2 linked regions of the Oryzias latipes genome follow. Each later gene encodes a partner of the first gene's protein in a complex. Links are inferred from orthologs where the notes say so. Each region holds a gene or a part of one and is shown on either strand. Other genes may lie near its edges.

The links.
Region 2: the proteins of qtrt2 (region 1) and qtrt1 are in contact, whole or in part, in a crystal structure (PDB 7OVS), measured with the Mus musculus proteins. The link is inferred for Oryzias latipes from reciprocal best matches to the Homo sapiens genes QTRT2 and QTRT1. Residues at the interface, in NP_001343258.1 of Mus musculus: Arg39, Thr40, Gly41, Ser42, Ala43, Pro44, His45, Leu46, Thr47, His48, Gln49, Thr50, Asn53, Glu70, His71, Glu73, Val74, Glu77, Tyr78, Phe85, Ile86, Gly87, Phe119, Gln342, Glu343, Phe345, Tyr355, Asn359, His360, Ala363; in NP_068688.2 of Mus musculus: Thr50, Thr53, Met54, Lys55, Gly56, Ile57, Thr58, Thr59, Glu60, Gln61, Ser64, Arg80, Pro81, Leu85, Lys88, Ala89, Phe95, Met96, Asn97, Ala307, Lys308, Phe310, Pro320, Thr324, His325, Ala328, Phe329, Ala332, Leu333, His335.

What each region holds. Positions count from the first base shown.
Region 1 is NC_019878.2:17,734,806-17,740,849, forward strand, and holds the start of qtrt2 (queuine tRNA-ribosyltransferase accessory subunit 2), read left to right. Parts: upstream 1-1,917; 5' UTR 1,918-2,119; intron 2,120-2,204; 5' UTR 2,205-2,207; coding exon 2,208-2,410; intron 2,411-3,005; coding exon 3,006-3,061; intron 3,062-4,106; coding exon 4,107-4,183; intron 4,184-4,378; coding exon 4,379-4,588; intron 4,589-4,860; coding exon 4,861-5,060; intron 5,061-6,044. Other genes in the region: ccdc191 (coiled-coil domain-containing protein 191), read right to left, coding at 439-574, 646-687, 1,373-1,435. UniProt on the Homo sapiens protein: Non-catalytic subunit of the queuine tRNA-ribosyltransferase (TGT) that catalyzes the base-exchange of a guanine (G) residue with queuine (Q) at position 34 (anticodon wobble position) in tRNAs with GU(N) anticodons (tRNA-Asp, -Asn, -His and -Tyr), resulting in the hypermodified nucleoside queuosine (7-(((4,5-cis-dihydroxy-2-cyclopenten-1-yl)amino)methyl)-7-deazaguanosine).
Region 2 is NC_019866.2:9,401,348-9,407,247, reverse strand, and holds qtrt1 (queuine tRNA-ribosyltransferase catalytic subunit 1), read right to left. Parts: upstream 3,914-5,900; 5' UTR 3,880-3,913; coding exon 3,592-3,879; intron 3,516-3,591; coding exon 3,447-3,515; intron 3,365-3,446; coding exon 3,226-3,364; intron 3,147-3,225; coding exon 2,952-3,146; intron 2,186-2,951; coding exon 2,047-2,185; intron 1,957-2,046; coding exon 1,881-1,956; intron 1,795-1,880; coding exon 1,685-1,794; intron 1,357-1,684; coding exon 1,272-1,356; intron 523-1,271; coding exon 370-522; 3' UTR 68-369; downstream 1-67. Other genes in the region: dynamin-2, read left to right, coding at 4,408-4,568.

The sequences.
Region 1 (6,044 bases):
TGCCCTGCTGTATTGCTGTTCCCTTAATGGCCCTGTTCACATTGTCGACTCTTGCTTAAAAAAAAAAAAGTTGGTTTTGTGACTTTGAATACTCCCATTGTCCTTCTGCAAGTACAAATGTTTGACTCATTTATTTAAAAAAAGTCAGTTAAAATCAATTTAGTGCTAATTGACATTTGCCGCAAGTTTTAGTGATTGTGTTTTTTCTATTAGAGATTTTTTAACCATGTCCGCCCAAATGAAGAGTTTTTCTTCTGACAAACTCTCAAAATCCCTTTCAATGTGATTCCTGTGCTCTGAAAATAAAGCTATACCCACGCATTGCAGAGTGGTGGTTAATGAAATTTCCTAACTGCTCAGTAGAAAGTGCAGTACCGCTGTGCAGCCTTCTTTCACACACACCCATTTGTTATCATTATGTTTTATAGACCAGCTTACCTTCACTGTAATCCTCATCATGATCCCTTAACTGTTCCGTGCTGTGCATTTGTGTGGCTAACCCCCTGGTTCCCAAATGAGGCTTTTTATTTGCAAAAACTTGAGAAACTGCAAACTCAGAAGCCATCTCGACTCGCTGAAAGAGACAAACAGCTGACCAAAATGTAACTGATAAAATAAATCCTGACCAATAAATACTTTTCTAACCTTCTTCCAGAGATCATTTCCACCATTCTTGTCAGGTTTCTGCTTTTAGAAGAACAAATATTTAAGGTGAAAGCTGCTTCCATTGCAAAGAAAGCGTAAAGCTCTCAAAGTAATATAGGTCGTATGGTCACTTTTGCCTGTTGGAAAATCCCCAGACTAGTTTAGTGACACCTTGAGCTGTGGAAACAGTTTTGAAAGGGGGGTGTCTGAGCCAAGAGCCTGATATCTGCAGATTTTTTCCACAGAAAAGCTTAGCTATTGCCTTAAATCCACAGATTACCTCAGAATCATTTCCCAGACTTCAAAAAGTCATTGCTCACCAGCAGCGATTCGGCTATCTTAGTCTCATACTGCAGGGGTGTACAGCTGCAAGCACAAGAGTATCAAAGAAAGAACTGTGTGTGCGGTTTAATCTACTGACATAAGCTATACTTCCATATGCTGCGTGAAAAATCTGACTCTCCTTCATTTAAATATGCAATTTCAGCATGCAACTACAATTTCGTTTATATTTTTTATCTTTTATCGCTGCTGAAAGATCTGGGAGGTTAAAGAGGGCTGAGAAAGGATTTAAGATTTTCAATTTAGATAGAATTTATCTGACCACCTATCATTTATTTTGAGAAGCATTAGGTGACTTTTTTTAATTGCTTTTTTTCAGTAGAAAGAAATGATTACAGACAGTCGATTCTTTCGATTGACCAATTTAACAGCAGTCCAAACTTACCTTGGTTGCAGAACTAAGCCTTTTCCACCTGAACAGGTGAGGATTGTTGCCAGAGAACGCCATCACAAGTTCTACACCTGTAGATCTAAAACTCCCTAAACCTCATATGTATTACCTTTTTTTTTAGTTTGGTCAGTAAAAAGACACATTTAATCAAAAGGACTGTCTATTTCTTAAGTGGAAAGTGTTCGAAAGTTATGCCGAAGTACAGAGAGCTCAAGTCAACACCATCTAATAACACAGGACTATGGGTAATGTAGTAGATTAACAGTTTTTCTTGGTGAAAAGTATCAAATAAGGAAAAAAAAACTACATGTCCCACAAAAGCCGTACGTTTGAAAGGTGATCAGTAACCATGACAACCCCATTCCCTTCTGCAAACTTGACGACAGTCTTCTAATTCGTGACATTTTGTTCTTTTTGTTAAGGTATCTGTTAAATAAGAAGAAACCCCACGCATTTTTTGAATTTTGACATTTTAAGTAAAAGAAAAAGTAGAAGCCCGGACTGTGAAAGTTTTTGTCAGTCGTCGCTCGTGATGACGACATATTTAAGCGACTTGTAGTTCATATCCTGCACAAGTTTTTAGCTAAAGGAACAACAACAAAAAAACAACAACGATTATCTTGTTTAGTAAATGCAACGTTTAATACCTTAAAAAGGCAAATTTATAAGTCGTTGCAAAACGTTTGACCTCAGGGGATAAAACTACTTTAAACAGCAAAAGATTTGTTAGCACTGTAGCACGTGAGTACAAATGCTAGTTTAGCTAGCCACGCTGCTAGCCCCCACGTTCATTGAGACTAAGCCGAATGTTTTGTCGAACTGCAAGGTGATGAAGCTGGAGCTTTCCCGTGTGATACAAGGAGGCGCTCGTTTGGGTGTTCTGCAGGGAATCGGGAGGACTGGTCAGCACTCTCTTAAGGTCCCGGGATGTTTGCTGTACACACACTTTGGCACCGTCCCGCACCTCACTCAGGACACGCTACAAACTGTCAACAACCTCCCTTCTGTCACCCAGGTCACTTTGTCTAACATGTAAGAGAAACCCATGCTCATGAAAACCTATTTGCACTCCAAAAAAATTTGATCGTTGTCTGACTCCTTCATTTTTTTAAAGATTATTTTTGCTATTTAAATTCAATATCCTTAAATATAATAAAAACAAACAGAGAACTGGGGGAAAACTTTGATAAATATAGACAAGAAAATCTAATTACTGGAAAATGTTGGCATGGCACTGAAAGCTTTATTGGTGAAATAACTTCAGAGTTCTTGACTTATTTCTGGAGTATTCCATACTAAAGAGACAGCAAAGAGGAAATCCCCTTGTAACGGAGTTAGAAAAATCCAAACACTACATTTGGAGTACTGCCTGTTTTTTGGATCTAATAACTTTGTAGGATGGTTGCGACACAAAAGATGTGTAAAAAAACAATAAAAGCAACTAAGTTTGAGCTTTTAGATCCCTACACTTTTAAAGAAATCAAAATATTGACTTAGTCCCATCCATTTTTAAACTATTCAATTCCTGAAGTGCATGTAAACCTGTCAAATCCTATTGGTTCAGCAAAAAGTCTTATTGCCTGGCTGAGCCTGTTTTAACCTGCATCTCCATCACGTGTCTCACCAGAGCAGAGCACCAAGAGGTGCTGGAGGAGTTTAAGGAAGGATTCAAGGCGTTTGCAGGTACTAGCCATGATTAGTTTCTTCACTTGACTTGACTTGACTTCACTTCACTTTTCTTCACTCCATTTTAACAATATTTATCTGACTGACCGTACATGAAAATGAAAGACAAACAATATTTAATAGACATAAAGAGATGCCTTGTTTAAAAAAAAATAACTATTTCTACCTCTGTGGGGCTGACATGCATTTGTTAAGAATAAATTTATACCATGTAAACAATAACAAAATACTTTTTTTGAAAATCTACTTTGATATAAACTTTTTAATAACGTGATCTTGCTCTTTTTATTTCAAATAATATGTGGTGTTTTGAATTGTATAGTTATTTTTTCCCCCCAAAAGTGTGTTTGTTAGTCTGGTTAAGTGATGTGCATACAATGGGTTTTAAAATTGGTGGCATCTTACTTTCTTTTTGCTAATTTTATTGAACTCTTATCTGTCTTTTATGTATTTTATTGCCTTTTTTTCTATTGTTTTTTTTTTATTTTTGTTCTTTATCTGCTCAATTTAAATATTCTTTTAATTTTTTTTATTGCAAATCTCATTTTTACACTGGTGGAATTCTAAAGACCTATAGAAGTAAAGTTTCATTCATATCCGTATATGTTTCCATTTTTTTAAGCAAAGAATGTTTTAAATCGCAAAATGATGCAACAACAGGTTTTAGGAGCAGTTTATTTACAGCAGAAATACAAGTTTTTCCTAGTTGTATTTATTTGCATTTATTTAAATAATCATCGGGGCTGTTAAATCTTTGTCTCTAGACCTCAGAGGTTGAAATTTACTATACATTTTATTATGAAAACACAACCTGTCCCATACATGAGGAATGAAATTTAAACGTACAATGTTTTTGACTGAACATTAAAAAGTTTTTAAAGCTTTACATGAAAATGCTATCAACATTGTCATCATGTCTGAGGACCAGTTTTCTGTGTTTACTCATAGAAAAGCAGCACTTCTCTTCTATTTTTATTTTGTCTTCACCCGCCACACGTACTTTTTCCATGTTGTGACCATAATGTACTGATTCTCTTGTCAGGGCTCCACAATACAGTACTTTACTGCTCACTGCATGACCCTGCAACACGCAGCCCGACGGGTTACGCCACCAACAAGGTGAGCTGCAGCTCCCCCTGACGTGTTTGCCTTTGCACACACATCCTCTCTCACTCGGCTGTAGTTTCAAGCACAGTTAATGCGAAAATATACAAAAAGAAATCCTGATCTCAGTTTTGAACAACAATGTTTTATTTGTTGTGACACTCCATGGCAGCATGTCTCCTAACTTGATATTTCTGCTGTCTCACACAGACGGTGTCCGTGTGGGGCAGTGGTGGGCGGATAGAGCTGACAGCGTCCAAGTTCATGGCTCTCCTGAAGACGGTGAAGCCCGACTGGTATCAGAGCATGGCAGATGGAGAGACCTGGCAGACCAACACTTCTCGAAAAAGGATCCGGAAGTCTGTGGATCGAACTTTGGCTTACTTGGATGAATGCCTGTTGGTGCACCAGAAATCCCAGGTACACACATTCACTAAATGCGTACATCCTTGAGCAGTCCTCCTTTTGAGATCCATACTGAGTAATGTCTGGGTGCTGACACAGCCACTTTATTCAGACTAGCATGAATATGTTAGTGGATAAAGACGCAGGAACAAGCCTCAGTAATGAAAAGGATGCTTTTCTTCCTTTATAGATTGTCTAGTCAGCCTTTTTGTCGTCACGTTTGGTATACATTCTGAAACATTTTTTTTTCTTCGTTTTTTATCACCACTCTGTCTGCCTCGTTCCAGGACCTGGATGGAGTTGAGTTGTTTGGGGTGGTGGAGGGAGGAGACGTCATGGAAGAAAGAGTCCGCTCAGCCAGGGAGACGGCGAAGAGGCCTGTGGCAGGATTCTGCTTGGATGGGCTCCAAACAGGCTCTGTGGACCAGGCTCTGAGGACGCAGCTTATCACTTCTATGACCACGGAGCTGCCTGAGGACAAACCAAGGTTTGCTCGCTTCAGCATCGGTGTGGAAAAACACAACGTTTTTTTAATTAAAGTGATTTTTTTTCCTGAAAAAGAAATTTAAATATTTAACAAAAAACAGATGAAAAGATGTGGATCGAAACTCTGAGTGATTCGGTTCCTTTTTTTTGGTAGAAGTAAAAGTAAAAAAGATGTTTGTGAACAAAAAAAAAAAGAAAGAAAAACATGATTTGCTCTAAAGACAAGAAAACTCAAACAAACATGTTGTTCCATCAGTTGTTTCCATAATTCACTTCCTGATTAGATTTCTTAGTTTTTTTTTAGTCATAATTAAAGTCAAAGTCATAATTAGTAAGGTTAAAATGACAAATATTTCTCTGGTAAATACATCCAATGATAATGACTGAGCATTAGGGCCAACATGGAAAAAAAATGCATAAATATGTGAGAATAAAGTTGTATTATTTTAAGAGAAGAGTCAAAATATTACGAGAATGGTTTTACAATAAAAAAAATACTATTTGTGAGAATAAAGTTGTAAATGTGGGGCTCCAAAAGTTGTAATTTTACAAATAGAAAGGCTTGCTTTTTCTAAATGAAATTAATTACATTTAACTTTTAAAATGTTTTGACAAAGATAATTGCACATTACCTGTTCAATTTATGTTACAGACAATTCAGAGAAATTGGATGAACGTCACACTGGTCAGGAATTATAACCTACTTTACTTAGTTTCTCAATGTACAAATTTGTTGTCATGAAACAACTTTGTTTTCGAAAAAGCGTTCTTTAAAACATACATTTATGATGGTTTTCTTGCAAAAATTGGACAACTTTTTTCTAAGAATTGTATAACTATTCTTGTTAAAATTTGAATCTTTTCTTATAATTTTTCAACTTTATTCATATATTTATTATTAGATAATAGATTTATCTAGAAAATCTTTCTGGAAGATGCTCTTAATAAAAGTTAAATGTATTAATAAACCAGTAAATTATTGTAA
Region 2 (5,900 bases), on another chromosome or scaffold:
ATTGAGCTTTGGCTAAAATTCTAATATGCTGATATGTATTCAGGAACACAAATTAAAGAGGCTGACAGGGAGGCAAAAACATTTCAATTGGATGGGCAAAGCTGTGTAACCATAGTAACGAGGAAAAAAGTGTCAGAGCATATCAGAGGACATGTTTCATGTATTTCAAATCTCATTTAAACATACATTAGAAAAACATGAATTGTGATAACAGTTTGCAGAGGCTGAGAGAAGCAAGATTTTACAAAAACAGACAACCAAAAAAAAAAAAAAACTCATTAGTACAAAAAGGATTCTTAAAAATATATAAAATATATTCTTTTTTGTCTTTTTTTTTCATTAAGAAAACAAACAAATGCTTTCGAGGTTCTAGTCCAAAGTGACGTTTACAGAAGCCAAAGCGTCCACAGCCCAGCCGGGGTAATCATCCCGAGAAGGAAACATCCGCTTCATGAAGGTCCTTATAAACTCAGGAAAACGGCCTTCTACAATACTCTGTCTTACAGAGCGCATCAGGGAGAGCTGCAAAGACAGATGTTTGAGAGTTTAGGGCAGCAAACAGAAACAAAAGTCAGCTTGTGACATGTCAGTGTTTTTAACCTGGAGCCGAGGTACATTTTTTCTTTGATGATATTAACAAGGCACACCACCAACCAAACAAAAAAGTAGAAATTAAAAAGAGATTTGGTCTCTCTTAAGGTGTCTTGAATAAGAATCAAATAAACACAATCTTTAATATTTCTACCTACTCAGTGTGAAACCTGGGCGGTTTGGATAAACACAGAGCTGCTATCCTGGTAATAGTAAACCCTTTTAGGCCAATTAAGGGAAAATGGAATAATTTCCCACAGCACACCTGACGATCTCTCCCAGCACACTAATGTACATTGAAACTTAAGGTTTTATGTAACACTTTTATATTGGAAAAACACTAAAGCAATGTAATGGCAGACAAAGGCACATCATAACATGTAAAGGTGGGGCTTTTTATGGATTTTTTTAAACGTCAAAACAGCACGTTAACTGTTCAGAGAAAGCAATGTTTAATTAGAGCAGAACTCTACATTTATGTAACCAATAAAACACAAAGTTAAGTTTGTGTTTGAATAGAACTTAGACTCTGTTGTTAAACTTTTAACACAGAAATTAAACTTTGAAACATAAAAAAGTGGCTATGGTGGATTTCCAAAGAGTGAAAAATACTGAAATGATCAAACTAAACAAAACTTGAATAATTTTGCAAGTTTTATTAGATGTTTGCCATCACTTACCTGGTAGGCGATGTTGTGGACGGTGACGTGATGCATGGCTGCAGTGTCACTCTTAAATAAAGCATGCAGGTAAGCCCGGCTATGCCTGCAACGAAAAAAGAAAAGGTTTTCTTCCCATTTAGCATGAAACATGCCGCTTCTATCGGTTTACTGAACAATAATAGTGTAATGATTACTTATGAAAGATTGCAATACACTGTAACCTTGCATACTGCAAGGTATGTGAAAACGGACAAAGTAAAGCTGTACATTTGCTTTGTTGGTTTGCAAATACTTTTACCACAATTTCCAATCCTGAAATTTAATTTTATGCCACAAAACAATTGCATTAGTTCAAAACGAGTTTAATCTATGAACCTGAGGAGCTGAGGGAACAAACAACTCTTTAAAGTAAAGATGACTTCCTCCTTTACCTCTTGCATGTGGGACAGTGGCAGTCTGGGTCTATAGGCAGGAAGTCTTTAGCATACTGCTTTTGTTTCACTTGAAGAGATCCCCATGGCACTAAAGCAGAGCCAAACCTCTGATAGAAACAGGCAAGGAATATATAAATATACAAATATATATATTTTTTAATTTGTCTTTTAGCACAGGAGGCAGAGCACTTACTGCAGTGCGGGTCGGAAACACGCAGTCAAACATATCACACCCCAAAGCCACACATACAACCAGGTCTACAGCATACCTGCAACACATGCAGACATCACAAACTGTGATTTAATGGCACCAAAGCCACTCATTTGTAATAAATGTTAGTTTGTACAAAGAAACGTACCCAACGCCCATGAGGTAGCGAGGCTTCTCTTGTGGGAGGTGGTCAGTGCTCAGAGTAACCATTCGCCAGAAGTCGTTCTTCTCCTCTCCTCCACTTAAACCTCCAATAGCAAAACCCGAAACGTCCCGCTGAGTCATTTCTAGAAAGAAGTAAGAAAGAGAAACTTCACATCAGCAGAAAAACACCTCAGACACAACTAAACCCACAATTATAGAAAAAAACAAGTATCGCTGCTCAATATGTAAATATTGACATATCTAAATATTATTAATGCTATTCACATTACAATTTTACTGTCTTAGAACTACAATGTGCTACATACACATCTGCATTATAAGTTACTTTCTCTGTAGTAATCCCAGGTATGAACATAAAATCTGGAATATCAAATCGAGCATTTTAGATTTAGATGAAAGGCATTATGGGTTAAATATGATTAATTATATTAAAATATTTTTTGAGTTAAGTGAAAGCACAGGAAGAAGGACAGACCCTTAGCTTTAGCCAGTTTAGCCCATATAAATGACACATTTAGGCTTTTATTAAAAAAAAAGTAGCAAACAGAGACCAAATAGAGAACCTTAAGGTGTATGTTTCTAAAAATAAATAAATACATAAAAAACTAAAAGAAATACAATCTAAGTTAAAGTTACAACACTTGATAGCCAACAACAAAACAGACAGAAGTTCAGTCTGTAAATAAATAAAAGAAATTGTTGGTCATATTAAATGTTAATGCCTTCTGCTAATTTGGTACAACAACCAAAACATTTATAAGGAATTCACAAGTAGATATGTTTATTTTTGGAGAATTTGTGCATTAATTGACCCAAATTTCATAAGCTGTAACGGAGTTTCTCCTCCTACCAAGTTGTCCTAATTAAAGCTGAAGGCTTGGTTGTTACCTTTTAGACAGGCTTTCCGCAGCTCTGCATCCAGTCCGCCCTGGATGATTGCAAAGAGGTTTTGTTTGTCAGGGTTTTTGTTGGCTGCAATGCAGCGATCCAGCCATCGTATGGATCTGTGCATGGCCTCTTCCACCCGGGGCCCCTTCACGGTACTGCTGACCACGTCATCCAGCTGCATCATGATGTCAGAGCCTGGGAAAAGACACAAAAACAAACATCAATAAGCAACACGGAGGAATACTTTAAAATACTTTTGAGGTAATTTACTGACCTAGACTGTTCTGTATGCTGATGGATTTTTCAGGACTTAGTAAAATTTCTTTGCCATCATAAGGAGATTTAAAATTGACCCCCTCCTCTGTGACTTCAGAGAGCTCAACAAGAGATACCATCTGAAACCCTCCACTATCCTACAAGAAGAGCACAAACATTATAAAAAAAAGTGTCCATAAATAATTTGCAATCTATTCAGGGAAGTAAATAAACACTCACGGTTAAAAGATTCCTCTTCCAGTTCATAAAACCATGCAAACCCTTGGCTTTTACGATCAAATCAGGCCCCTGTCAAGAGAAAACATGAATTATCATTCTCCTCCATAGCGAGTTAAAGCCTAGTCAATTTAACTGGGTTACCTACAGGTCGCATACCAAGGTGGTATGTGTTTCCCAGACAAATCTGACATCCAAGGCTCTCCAGCTGATCCACAGTGATCCCCTTCAGGGTCCCCTGTGTTCCGACCGGCATGAAAACCGGAGTATTGACGGTGCAGTGCGGCAGGGTCAGATCACAAGCTCTGGCTTTAGTCACCGGACATTCCGCGACAATTCGCAGAGTGAGGGGAGAAGCTGCAGACAACGCTTTCTGCAAAGACATGCTGTTTTCTGGATTGCTTGAAACTATTACACGTTCCACCGTGGCAGCCATCTTTCATTGAACATGTGACCTGGAGCAAAAACAAGTGACACACAAATTGACCAATCACAGATCGGGACTACATTATTGGGAGGACCCACACCCCCGCCACACCTGAAAGCTTCAAAAGCAGCCAATAGGCGACCGAGTTTAACAGGAGGAAAAAAAGAAAAGAAAAAAGAGGCGTGGCTTTAGTTACCGGTTTCGATCGGATGTCGTCTATGCTGACCGGATGGCGTTTGGGGAGAGGAAGTTTTGTTTTGCGAGTTCTCTGTGCGCTTTGATTGACTAAGATTTTATTTAATGCACGTCAAGAGCACGGCATTATGTTGGCGTGAACGACATTAAAGGCAGACGACCCGAGTTTGAACGACGAAAATTAGCGGCTGAACCATTTGAACAAGCGGAACTCAACATTTGAGAGCAGCAACCCGACAGATAGTAGCTTCTGCTAAGCTAACGTTACCTAGCTAGTTAGCGTGGTTATCGTTAGCCTCCGGTTTACGTTGAATTGAAGGCGCTCTCAGAGCTAACGAAGCCATGGGGAACCGGGGAATGGAAGATTTAATTCCCCTCATCAACAAGCTTCAAGACGCCTTTAGTTCGATTGGTCAGAGTTGTAATTTAGATCTTCCTCAGATTGCTGTTGTTGGTGGACAGAGCGCTGGAAAAAGCTCCGTCTTGGAGAATTTTGTTGGCAGGTAGGCAAGAGTACACTTGTATTTTTCCCTATCAATAAGAACTACTTTTTGATGGATTTTTACCAGATATAAATGTATATTTGAATACGTTTGACGTATGTGGACACGCCTTTTTTATGCCGAAACTAAATTGCCCCAGCAGTAAAGTCAACATTAAGTCACGTACATAGTACACGTCGTCGATTTTACTGATAGTCCAAAAACCCTCAACTTTGCGACAAGTTTTAGGTGACAGGCTAGTACAATCAGTTTAACCCCTTGAGGCTTGGGTTCAAAGCCACCTGGGCGCTGGCATTGCTTGCTGAGGCAAACTGATAGGACAACCTAAAAGTTCAAAATTATATTTCCCTCCCTTGTAACCACTAAAACTTACAGCACTCGATGTGTATTGGTTGAATGCTCCTGTTTGTACTACAAAACCTGACCTCAAAGTGCTGCTACTGCAAAGAAAAACCAGTACCTTACATCCTTTTGGTGGAGTTTAGTTTCTTCATTTTTTTTTTCATTATTGGGGATGTTGGTCTTAGGTAAATCTTGGTTAAATAGACACTAGTCTGTTGATTTTTTTGTTATAGAATTAGATGAACAATAATGGGGACATTATTGAAACAGTAGTGATCTCATAGATATCAAGGTTGAAATCTACACTAATCTTGATTCATTCACTGATCCTCACAACTGATAACTGACTTAAGTCTAATCACACAATCTGATATTTCCAGTTTTATATGTGGACTTTCAAACTAAGTACTAGGCGGGGGTGGGCAATTCCAGGCCTCGAGGGCCGGTGTGTCTGCATGATTTCCAGATACTCTTGCCCTACTCATGGCTGATTACCTGGTTCAGGTGTGTCCAGCCAATTAGAACATGCCAGAGCAGGGTATGCTGGAAAACATGCAGGACTGCGGCCCTCAGTGCCCACCTCTGTAACTAGCGTATAGGGAAAGGACACAGTGATGAGTATTTTGAGTTGAACTATTGACCTACTTAGATGTTTATGGTCAGTCATTTTTAGTGAATAATTTAAAAATGTACAATAAAAACATTTGCACACCTTGAAACACAAATGGCAATCGGACTAAACAAGGAAAAGAAATTAAGACTAAAGTTTTGCACTGATTATTCAACTCCAGAATGGTGGATTATACAGGTTTGGTGATTTTTTTTTTTTTGTCCTCCCGTTGGGTGTGTATTTTTGCATTTTAAACTATTTCTTCTTTCATTTACAGCACAGTGTTTCTTTAAAAAAATGATTAGAATTTCTTCCTGATTTTGGGGCTGTGCCAGTAAGAAGTTCCTATATTATCTTCCTCTTTTTTTTTTTTTTTTTGT